Drosophila melanogaster: one gene and its partners. The protein of the gene in region 1 interacts with the protein of each later gene in a pairwise test. Each region holds a gene or a part of one and is shown in the gene's direction. Other genes may lie near its edges.

Region 1 (3,754 bases):
GCGAAGCATCCTTCTTGTCCCTATCGCCCGAAGTCATCTTATCCGGGTCCGATTGCGGTTTCTCTTTGCCTTGTTGCAGCTCCTCACTATTCTGGCTGCCGCTCAGTTTCTTCCTTTCACTTGTAATTAGCTGCTGCAGCTCTTGGTCCCAGCCCAAGGCTTTGGCCAGAGCCATTACGCCAGCATCACAGTCGCCCAGAAAGGCCACATCCCTAGTGTTATTGGGCTTATCGAAGAGTAGCGATCGCGTGTTGGGATCCATAAAGAGCACACAGCTGGCCTGACCCACTGCATCGCGATTGATCAAGAGGCGAATGCAACGTGGTCCTGGTCTCCACACCAGTGAAGCAAACGGTTGCACTTCCAACGATGTGCCCATGATGATCAGCAGATCGCAATCCTGGAAATCCTCTTCAGGACTGGAGTAAAATCTCTTTGGCAAGTTTTCGCCAAAGAAAACAATGTCTGGTTTAACAACGCCTTGGCACTTTTGGCATTTGGGCAGACGATCGGCGAAGATCTCCGCCTTCATCCAGTCCATGTCGTACTCCTTGCGGCACTTAATGCAGTGGTTGGTGTGGAAGCTGCCATGGGCCTCAATGATCTTGTCCTCGGGCAGGCCAGTAAGCCGGTCTAGCGTGTCTATGTTCTGGGTGTAGTGGCGCTGCAGTAGTCCCTTGTCGTTAAGCAAACGGATAAAGTAGTGGGCCGGCGTGGGAATGAAGGATCCAGGGTAAAGTTCCTTGGCCAGTGCAAAAAACGGCGCTGGATTCTTTTCGAAGTAGTCCAGATCGAATATGGCCGTAGGATGTGGCAGCTCGTACTTCTTCAGATTGCTGTATAACCCGGAACCTGGGGATCTGAAATCCGGAATGCCAGCAGCTAGGAATGGCGATAACTTAGTAAGTTTTTACAATGGTATATAGAATGTACCAACATGTAGATATGCCGGCTCCCACCATGGTCACAATCTTGCGGAAACCATGCACACGCCAATGTTCGGCAAAGCCGTCAAAACTCAAATCTGGAATAACCTGCAAATTTGCGATTTAATCAATATGATAATCAAATTATCGGGTGCTCCGCTCACCTTCTCTACTTTAACTTCCTCCTTTGCGTCCGAGGAGCCGCCGAGATGTAGAGTGTTTGCAAAGAAGCGTCGAACCTTATCCATTGTGTCGTCTAGAATTCAATTCAATTAATGAGTGACAGTAAAGACCTAACTATTTAGACTAGCCTGGGGCCTCCTCGTCGTCGTCACTGGACGAGGAATTGGAGGGCGTCGTCGGTTGTTCCTCCTTCTTTACTTCGATGTCGCCCATGGTAAACAGATTCACCTTCCGGTGAAAGTATGTAAATCTGAGGATAGTGTGATGAATTCTCCCAATTGTTTATGTTGCGTTTTGTTTTAACGTAAAAAGCAAAACAAGTTCTGACAACTATCGATAGGTTTAGGCTAACGAATAAGTTATCTCTAACAGCTATTAAAAAGCTAGAATTTTAATTTCATTGCTTATTGATTTAGATTTTAAAATCAAATTTGTGCGAGCAAACCAAAATATTATAATTACTTTAAGTAGCCTATCAATGAAAGATTTTTATTTAACAGCGATTTATTAAGGGTCGCAAATAAATATGTGTTTGTAACGGTTAGAACATATTATGACTCATTAAACAAAAAGGAACCGAATAATAGAATAACTAAAGCTAAGAAGGGCGCAAAGTTACAAAATCGAGTATAGATAAAATAACAATTACACTTTGTTGATATCTGAATATAAACTAATTGAAAGGTTAAAATCAGCTGAATTGTCAGCACGGAGTGTCCAAATAATCGATAGCTGTTATCGACCCACCCAGTGTTAGGCTCTCTAGCGCCACCAGCCCTGGCCGGCCGATAGTCGATTACTCGATGTTCGGCGGGGGTGCAGCTCTGCCCGTTCGCTCAGCCCTGGAAAACCACGCCAGTCATTTTTGTTTTGATAAGGATACGGATACAAAAAGAGCGTGGCCTGGAAAAACTGCAGAAACGGCGGAGAAAGCGCCCCAAAAGCGAGCGAAAACGGTGGAAACTGATCGTGGGGAAGTGCGCGACAAAGTGGCCGCGGATTCAGGCCCTCCCAATCGCTACGTGGAAGCGTAAGCAGCGTGTTGAAGAAGAGAAGAAGAAGAAGCAGCAGCAGCGCAGCAAAAGTACACAGAAGTGCAAACCAGACGACTGAAATAACAAATCAAAAAAGGCCCCAAAAGGAGCGGCGCAGTGGAAGCAACTGCGGGGGCGGGGAATGGCCGAGGGTCGTCGGTGGCCGCCATTGTGTAACGCCGCCGATGGGCAGACTGTAGATCCACGCTAGGATCATATCTCTCGAATATCATGCATCTGAACCATGCGACAGCCGCCACGGCAGCCATGGCCAACTATCAGCACTACCAACTGCCAGCCTCCCATGGCGGTGGCGGCGGAGGAGGAGGTGGCGGTGGCGGTGGAGGAGGGAGTAATGGTGGATCTGGACCGGGTCCCAACTCGGGACAGCAGCAGCCCACCACACTGGCCAGCCTGCAACAGAGTCCCTTTGCGCTGCATCAACTCACCGCCGTGCAGGCCATCCAGCACCCTACCCACCAAGCCATGCTCCATCCACAGCACCCGCTGGTCCATTTGCTGGACATATCCACTACAACAGCGAACAGTGGCGGAGGAGGCGGGGGCAGCCACACGCCCATTTCTCCTATGAAACAGGAGGTGCAGAGCGTGATTAGCGAGGAGGAGGTGGTGGTGGACGATCCGCGCAAGAAGAAACAGTGCCACGTGTGCAAGAACAAGTTCCGGCAGCTGACCACGTTACGCAACCACATGAAGATCCACACGGACGAGCGGCCCTACAAGTGCAAACACTGCGACAAGGCCTTCCGCCAGATCTCGACGCTAACCAACCACGTGAAAATCCACACCGGAGAAAAGCCGTTCACCTGCAACATCTGCGCCAAGGACTTTCGCCAGCAGAGCACCTTGATCAATCACATCAAGACGCACAAGGGTGAGTGTGTGGTCGCATCGTCCCAATAGACCTTATGACCTAACTCTATTTCTCGCTTCGCTTACGGGCAACAGCGGCGGAGTCCAGCACGCCAACTTCCCTGTTGAACTATCAGCCGCAGACGGGCAGTGGCAAACACCGAAAGTCCCAGATGCACCAGGCCTACCAGCAGCAGCATCAGCGCGTCCAAATCTCAAAGACCTTGTATTCCGGCAGCTACAGCTCGCCGGCGGCCGAGGAGCTGGTGAAGCCGTTCCAGTGTAGCGTTTGCAAGCGCCGCTTCCCGCAGCTGAGCACGCTGCACAACCACGAGCGGACCCACATCGATCCTAAGCCGTACAAGTGCGAAACGTGTGACAAGTCCTTTAGCCAGCTGGCGACGCTGGCCAACCACAAGAAGATCCACACGGGCGACAAGCCGTACACGTGTTCCTACTGCCACATGCAGTTCCGCCAGCAGAGCACCCTTACCAACCACCTCAAGACGCACACGCATCAGATAGCGCCTGGAGGCGTCGGTGGAGCAGGAGGCGGCGGAGGCGCCGTCACAGCCACAGGTGAGCCGCTTGTGTGTTCGCCCTACCAATGAGCCGCTTTCTGTTATCCATGTGTGCATTGATTATTAACGCTCTTCCCTAACGAAGCTTTTATTTAAATCTTGTACGCATGCTAACTTCAACAAATCATCCAACAATCCAACTCCGTACCGTCAATCT
Region 2 (3,754 bases), on another chromosome or scaffold:
TAAATTTTTGTCTAAGGACCAACAATGACTGTGACTTTATTTTGTCACTGGGGTTTTTGGGTTGGAAACGCTTGGCTTATTAATTATGCCCAAGTGCGTGGCCAAAGGATATGGTCATGGAAAAAAAAACGTAAACAAATTTCATGCAAATACGCTCGAACTTGTCTGGCTTGCGTCTGCTCGGCTGGATGACCTTAGTTTGCATAATTTTTTGATTGAGCTCTTGACCTGCCTCAAAGGGGTCTAAAACTATGCTAAGTATTTTGTGGTGGGTGTTTATGGGATTCTTGGGCTAGTTATGTGTGCCAGGATTTATTAAATGAGAAAATATATGAGAGGGTAGCTTTGAACATTTTATGCATTAATTAAATATATTTTTTAAGTGGGAAAATTCTGAATATATGTTGACATATTTAAGGGAAATAGTGGGAAAATAATAAGTAATTTTTTTTTTAGAAAGGTAAATTTGGTTAAATAAGCTATTTTATGTCTGCATATATACATTTGACGGCAATTGGCTTTGAAGGCGAAATAGATTTCCATTGATTGTGTGCAGAGTTTCATTCATTCATTGTTTTAGGAAACATAAACTTTTACGGATATTTTTCATTTGATTCTTCGCATTGTCCCATAACGCTCCGCTAAATCAAAAAACTTTAAAACTGCACAGCCAGAAACAAAAGTCAGTATTCCAATGATAACTTTAACGATGGCAATTCCTTTAGCTATGCAAATGTATCGCTAGTTTCGCATTAATTTCGCAAAACTGATCATAGAATCAATGAAACTGACGGATGAAGTGAATCAATATCTTTTGTCAGTGAAACATAATTTAACTGTAAAGCAGTCAAAACACAGTCACAAACACAATGAGCAAAAGAAAGATATCAAGGTGGAAAAGAAAGGTATATTTTATGTAGGCAGCCAAACGAAACTTATATGCATATGAAAAAGAAAATTATAAAATATTCATCGGTAAAATGGTTATTTTTTTAAACGAAAATTTTAAATATCATTTCATACTAAACACTAATTTACTTTCTTTAATTTAATTAAGCTTCACTCACACATATTATAAACTGAAAAAATACAAATAAGATTTTCTTATATAACACATTGGTTAAATATTTAATGGGACACGGTCTATATAAAAAATATTTTCAACAGAATTCAGCGAAATTTGAATTGTCCAAATTCAAGTTCAAGATTTATTTATTTTTCATATTGATAATCAAATATTATTTGCTCTTAAATATTTTTACTATGCACACTTTTTTGGATGAACGATAAATAGTTAAATATTTAAACTGTTTATTTGTTTAATTCCTTTTCTACGCCACGTTAGTAATATGTTCTTCAAATCGCAATGGCAACCACTCCAGATGTCCCCCCTCCCAAACAAACACACACACTCACAAAGCCAAGGGAAAAGTTGTCTGGCCAAGGAGCTGCAAGGAACTGAAACAAAGCTCCCCGAACGGGAGAGAGAAGTCCTGGACGCAAAAGCTCCAACTGGGAGATGGCACTACGTGTAATCCCTGTGTTCCCGATAGCTGGACTCGAAGAAATCGAGAGATGCGCCGTCGCCGTTCATATCATCTCTCGCCCTCTCTCGCTCGCACTGGGCACTGGGCAATTAAAAATGTCACTCTGCATGGGAATGCACTGAGGGAACTTCGTAGAGCCGGCTCTGGTATTATTTTTTCATCTCATATATTTTTTTTGTTTTTGTTGGTTTTGGGGGCGTAACGCTGGAATACAGCGAGCCCAATAGAGCGCAAGTCTCCCTTCCAGTTGCTCGGTAGAGCGTCTATCTCGCTTGCCGCACCAATGGCGGTGCTGCTCGCACACATGGAACGCTGGAAGGCCAGCGGACAAACTGGTTTCGCTCGCCGGGGTGTGTGTGCGTACTGCGCTCGTTGGTGTGCGTAAACGTATCGGTGTGACGTACCGCCGAGCGTCGAGAGCGCTCAACGTAGAGCTGCGGTGCGAGACATGACGTTAGTTCACTTCGATAGCTCTACGAGTCTGCACGTGAATTTTCCCTGGGCTCTCGGCTGTCTTGACTGCTCAAATCTCACAACACACAATCTCAAATCTCAATCGGCATCGAATCGGTCAAGCAACCCAGTAGAAACACACATTCGAGAAATCTCAATCTGTATCTGAATATCAGAGTTCTGCGTTCTGACCACTGAGTTCTATCGATGATTTAAATCGTTGCGAAAAATCGCCACAAAAAGTGCCAAGTGTTAGAAGTGCTAAATGAAATTCGAAAATAAAAAAATCTAAATAAATAACCAAATAAAACGCAGTTAGCTCAACGCTAGTCAAGCTAAATAAACGTGAAACCCCAAGCAAATTGCCGTCGGATTTTTTACTTAACCCAAAGCTGAAATAAACTTGTTGAACGCGTTCGAGGGCCACGCCCCCAAAAAAGCAAACGTCGAACCCAAAAAAAAACAAAATAAGCGAAATAGAATATTTTTGCGCCTGCCACGTTGCCCGTAAAAGACGTCAAGACGGTTGCCTCACGGTTCGAGTGGAATGAGCATAGGGACCCTGGTCTTCCTTTCGATCGATCGGTGTACAAAGTCGTTAAACTGAGCCCCAACTTGGAGCCCTACCCCGCCAGCGTGGAGGGCCTGAACAGCCCCAGAGCGGTGGGGATGGCCGCGACCTCGTACATGACGCCGCCGAGCGGTGATCTGGACATGGCCCTCGGAGGCGGTGGCTATCACACCTCGTCGCCGCGCTCGGCGGCTGATGCCGGTGAAATGAAGTACATGCAGCACCATCATCATCATCATGCCGCTGCCGCGGCAGCTGCCCACCATCAGTTGCCCTCGTCGCCATCGCCCAATGGCCAGGGCAATGGTGGCGGACTTGGATTGGGTTCCGGTTCCGGGTTGGGCTCATGGAGTGCCCTCCATCCGGATCCGTGGATGCAAACCCATCATACGCACCATCTGCCCGCCGCCGCTGCCGTTGCCTCGGCCGCTGATACCGTCAAGCAGGAGATGTCGCATCTCTCGCAGCAGACGCGCATCCAACAGGGCATGGCCTCGCCCCATGCCGCCTGGCATGCCCCCCATGCGGGACACTATGCGCCAACGGGCGGGTCACCGTTGCAGTACCATCATGCCATGAACGGAATGCTCCATCATCCGGCCCATGCGGTTGCAGCGGCCCATCATCAGAGTGTGGCGCCACTGCATCATACGCTGCGCGGGGAATCGCCACAGCTGCACATACACCATCACATGGGCGGCGGCGATCGGGATGCCATAAGCGGCGGCGAGGAGGACACTCCCACGTCCGATGATCTGGAGGCCTTTGCCAAGCAGTTCAAGCAGCGCCGAATCAAGCTGGGCTTTACCCAGGCCGATGTGGGCCTGGCACTGGGCACTCTCTATGGCAATGTGTTCTCCCAGACGACCATCTGCAGATTCGAGGCACTGCAGCTGAGCTTCAAGAACATGTGCAAGCTGAAGCCGCTGCTGCAGAAGTGGCTGGAGGAGGCGGACTCCACAACGGGTTCACCCACGTCCATTGACAAGATCGCCGCTCAGGGGCGTAAGCGCAAGAAACGCACCAGCATCGAGGTGAGCGTGAAGGGGGCACTGGAGCAGCACTTCCACAAGCAGCCGAAGCCATCCGCCCAGGAGATAACCTCGTTGGCCGACTCCTTGCAGCTGGAGAAGGAGGTGGTACGCGTGTGGTTCTGCAATCGGCGGCAGAAGGAGAAGCGCAT
Region 3 (3,754 bases), on another chromosome or scaffold:
TTTTCATTTTTGCAACATTCTTTTTGACGGCGCTTAATGAATTGCTTCGGTAGTTCGTTATTTTCAATATTTGCCATCTTTCTCATGAAAACATAATGTTTGGGCGGTACATATACATATACATACAAAAGAAATAGCAAAACTCAAACTCAAATAAAATTTCTGCGAAAACCGCATGCTACCATCTTAGTTCTACTTTGGCTGACTCATCAGCTGGTCGGTCCGTCCTCCTGGCGATATCGTCGTGCTCAGCTGGCAACCGAAAGCAATTAGGGTCCCCTCCAATTGACTGCTCCATCGGCGGGCGGGGCCAACGGAGGAATGAACGGTGGAGCCGTCGGAGGAGCAAGGGCTCCACTTGGCAGTCGTCTGTCGCCGGAAAGTTGCAACAACAATATGTGTGCATCGTTGGTAGCGACAGCCGCCGTTTGTTTTTCGGCTTTGCAGCACAGACCGAAAACTATGCTACACGATTCAAATAAAAAAAAAAACTACATATCCTGCAGGCCAGGCACAAATTGTGTGTGTGTGTGTGTGCGAGTGTAGCCAACATTTTTATGTCGCTTGTGGCCCGTTGCCGGCTTCCTCACACTTTTAGTCACTACTTTCAGTTGGCCAACGAATAGCTGCGCGACAACAGCTTTTTTAGAGAAACACGAAAAATTAGTGCTTTATAAAATATTCTATTCGTCGACTTGTGCATCCGTGTGCCTTTTACAATGGTGGCCATTAATTTGCATTTGAATAGTAAGTATAATTTAGTTTATTTACAACCTTTCATATCCGCCTCAATGGAAACGAAAATATACTTACTTTGACTAAATTGGAAAATGGGTGAAAACTCTTTGGCGTACGCTCTTCAAGCCATACTGCTGACTCATGCGAACAATTTAATTAAATGCAAATTAAAATGCTTTTAGGGATATTAAGAAAAGGCGACGACACAAAGTTCTTAAGGGCCTGTGAAAATTTCGTCCTCTTAGTTTTGAGCATATTTTCCATTTTCATTGCTCCGCATTTTCCGGCTGTGTGCCATAATTATTAAAGTGTAATTTCGTTTCGCCATTACACTTAAAACATCAAGAGCTACGCATTTCAGTCCAAGTGAGATTAACTTTTATTTATCCTACAGTTTTTAGTCAACAAAATATTTTGTCTAGGGGTCATATATTTATATCACATAGTGGTTAGAAATTCTATTTAACCAGACCTTTAACGCGAGCCATAATTTCTATTGAAATGGCTCTAGATTTTTAATTAAAACCGTCAAATGTCAACGGCTCTTTTCATTTGATTAATTTTGAAGACCCTTCTGTGAAATACATAAAAAAATGAAATACTCACAGGTGTACCACCTATTCGCTTTCTATTTCGCGTAATTTGCAAAAATGTAATTGAGGCCAACGTGTGGTACACATGTATGTTAGTGGATGCATTTTACGCTGCCTTTCATTATTATAATGATGCTTATTATTTTAACGAAAGCTTTTAGTTTCACCTAAAGTGCGGGAATGCCTGCGTAGAGTGGAACGGAAATTCATAATCAAAATATGGCCGTCTACCAATTGCAATGTATAAACAAAAAAGGCGAATGTTCTATTTAAGTTGTTCCAATTTTGCGACAAAAAAAGAAGTGGAAAAATCTTAAATCTCAAGCAAATTAATGATTATATGTGCAAACTCGTAAAAAATACAAATGCGAACATTTTAACTCGAATATGAATATAACACAAATAAAAGGGTTTAAGAAACGAAACTGTAAACGAAATAACTCATCGAAGCTATTGTATATGAAGTATATGCTATCTATTATGGCGGGTTATGCGTTGATATCATAAGATTACAAATTATGCAAAAACATGTTGTTTCTATAGCTACTTAATTGTACATTGTAATTGTAAGTAATTTATAAGGCCACAGAAATATACTCCGTCATAGAAACTTCTCGTCGTGCACGTGCTCCTATTTTTTCGGGATTTTCACAATTGTTGATAGAATCGAGTTGGCAGCGCCTTTTGGAGTTTAGCTTTCAGTCTCACTTTTTTGTTCGATATTCAATAGAAGTTTAGTCAAATAATTTTTCTTGTCGAGTAAAGGTGTTCATCAGTTGAAAGTGAAAAGTTGTGAAAAGAGTAAGTTGTTGAAACGAATAAAAAACACTGGCGAGGCCGCTCACATTTCAATTTTAAATAGGGTTCTCTAATATCATAAACAAAATTCAGCAAACTTTTGAGTCTTCACCAACGACGATTCTCTGCGCACAATTCGTATATAATATCATCCGTGCACGAATTCCATTGCCAGAATCACTTCAAGCACCCATGGCCCACCAGATGCGCAATCCGCCGGAGCGCCACTTTGGCCACCGCTGCGAGAACTGCAAGATATCCGATTTCCAGGGCCGCCGCTACACCTGCAGGTTCTGCGCGGAATACACTTTGTGCGGCAAGTGCTTCGATGCCAACCATCTGCCGGCATCGCCTCAGCATCGCTACTACCATCCGATGAGTGTGTACTATGCCTATGCCGAGTACCAGCTGTACTTCGGCGGCGAGCCATTCTGCGGTGATCACAAAGTGGCCCAGAGCTACAAATGTGCCCTGTGCGATGTTCGCGGCCTTTCTACCGCCCATTTGTTCATGCACCTGCTGCAGGAGCATCGCGACCACCGTGACCACGATGCCTACTTGTCGTTGGTCAATACTCTCTATATAGCGGACAACGGAATGGAGCAACAGGTGCCAGTACCGCAACCTTCTAGCCAAACGCGCTCGACTCGTTCTCGCAATTTAGCAAGCGTTCGACCGGTAGCCGGTGGCAACACGCGAAGCGAACAGCGGACCGAGCAGGTATTTGATTCCGCATTAAGCCTGGCCCTAATGGTTGTGCAGCTGGACAATATGGATTCAACTGCCGCCGACTTTCCTGAACGCTGCTATGAGATACTGCAGCAGACTGAAACTGTGCTTATGCAGCACAGAAGTTCCAGAGTGCCGGACATGGAGGCGATTGAGTCTTTTGTGCGCGTCATCGAAGATCAGGTTGTGACTAGCATGGCCGATCGTCGTCAGCGTCTGGGCGCCTCATCATCCTCACTACATCGGCTGACCCGCATTGAGGCAATCTCTCCTGGTACTAATACAGCGTTAGCTATGGGTATGCGTGCTGCCATGCCCGTTTTGGTTGACCAGCCGACAACAATGGTGCGCAGGCAGACGGCTAGGCGTACTGGAGAGCCTATCGGGATAGCCCTTCAATCGGCGGTGGCTTCGTCTTCTAGGAGCGGAAAAGCGGGGTCCAGCTCTGGGGTAGCCAAGGCACAAACGAAGACGCAAGGAGATCAGCCCACCAAGAAGGTGTCAACTGTCATTACTTCCCCACTCAAGGATAAGCGCTTTTTGTGCTCGAAATTGGTGAGCGGAAATGGCCAAAAGTGGGAAAGCAAATTGCTCAAAGCTACCTTTACCGAGGCAATGTTCTGTTCGATGTTGGCAGACGAAGAGCTGTTCCAGCCGCCAATTGGACTGCCCTGGACTGCGAATTTCATGTTGGACGCAGTCGAGCCATCAGGCAGTGTAAAATCAAATGGGAAACTATTGCTGTATCCTGTTAAGACCAAGGAATTGATGGAACGCTTCTACAGGGGTCTCGCCGAGTACAAAACTTGGATTGGTTATCAGACCGAACCAACTGCCGAAAGCAAGGCAACTGAACTCCCATCCGCTTCCACCAGCTCGGCTTATTTCACAGTTTT

Evidence for each region.
Region 2: the proteins of CG4360 (region 1) and vvl interact in a two-hybrid assay, tested with the Drosophila melanogaster proteins (one large-scale study listed by BioGRID).
Region 3: the proteins of CG4360 (region 1) and CG31642 interact in a two-hybrid assay, tested with the Drosophila melanogaster proteins (one large-scale study listed by BioGRID).

What each region holds. Positions count from the first base shown.
Region 1 is NT_033777.3:20,326,157-20,329,910, reverse strand, and holds the start of CG4360 (uncharacterized protein), read left to right. Parts: upstream 1-1,907; 5' UTR 1,908-2,374; coding exon 2,375-3,038; intron 3,039-3,112; coding exon 3,113-3,595; intron 3,596-3,650; exon of another isoform or gene 3,651-3,682; coding exon of another isoform or gene 3,683-3,693; exon of another isoform or gene 3,694-3,754. Other genes in the region: Sirt2 (sirtuin 2), read right to left, coding at 1-882, 938-1,034, 1,091-1,182, 1,238-1,322.
Region 2 is NT_037436.4:6,788,157-6,791,910, forward strand, and holds the start of vvl (ventral veins lacking), read left to right. Parts: upstream 1-2,001; 5' UTR 2,002-2,669; coding exon 2,670-3,754. UniProt on the Drosophila melanogaster protein: Binds to a DNA sequence element required for the expression of the dopa decarboxylase gene (Ddc) in specific dopaminergic neurons. Could also play an early role in specific ectodermal cells, and a subsequent role in the embryonic nervous system.
Region 3 is NT_033779.5:6,116,437-6,120,190, forward strand, and holds the start of CG31642 (uncharacterized protein), read left to right. Parts: upstream 1-2,075; 5' UTR 2,076-2,132; intron 2,133-2,193; 5' UTR 2,194-2,321; coding exon 2,322-3,754.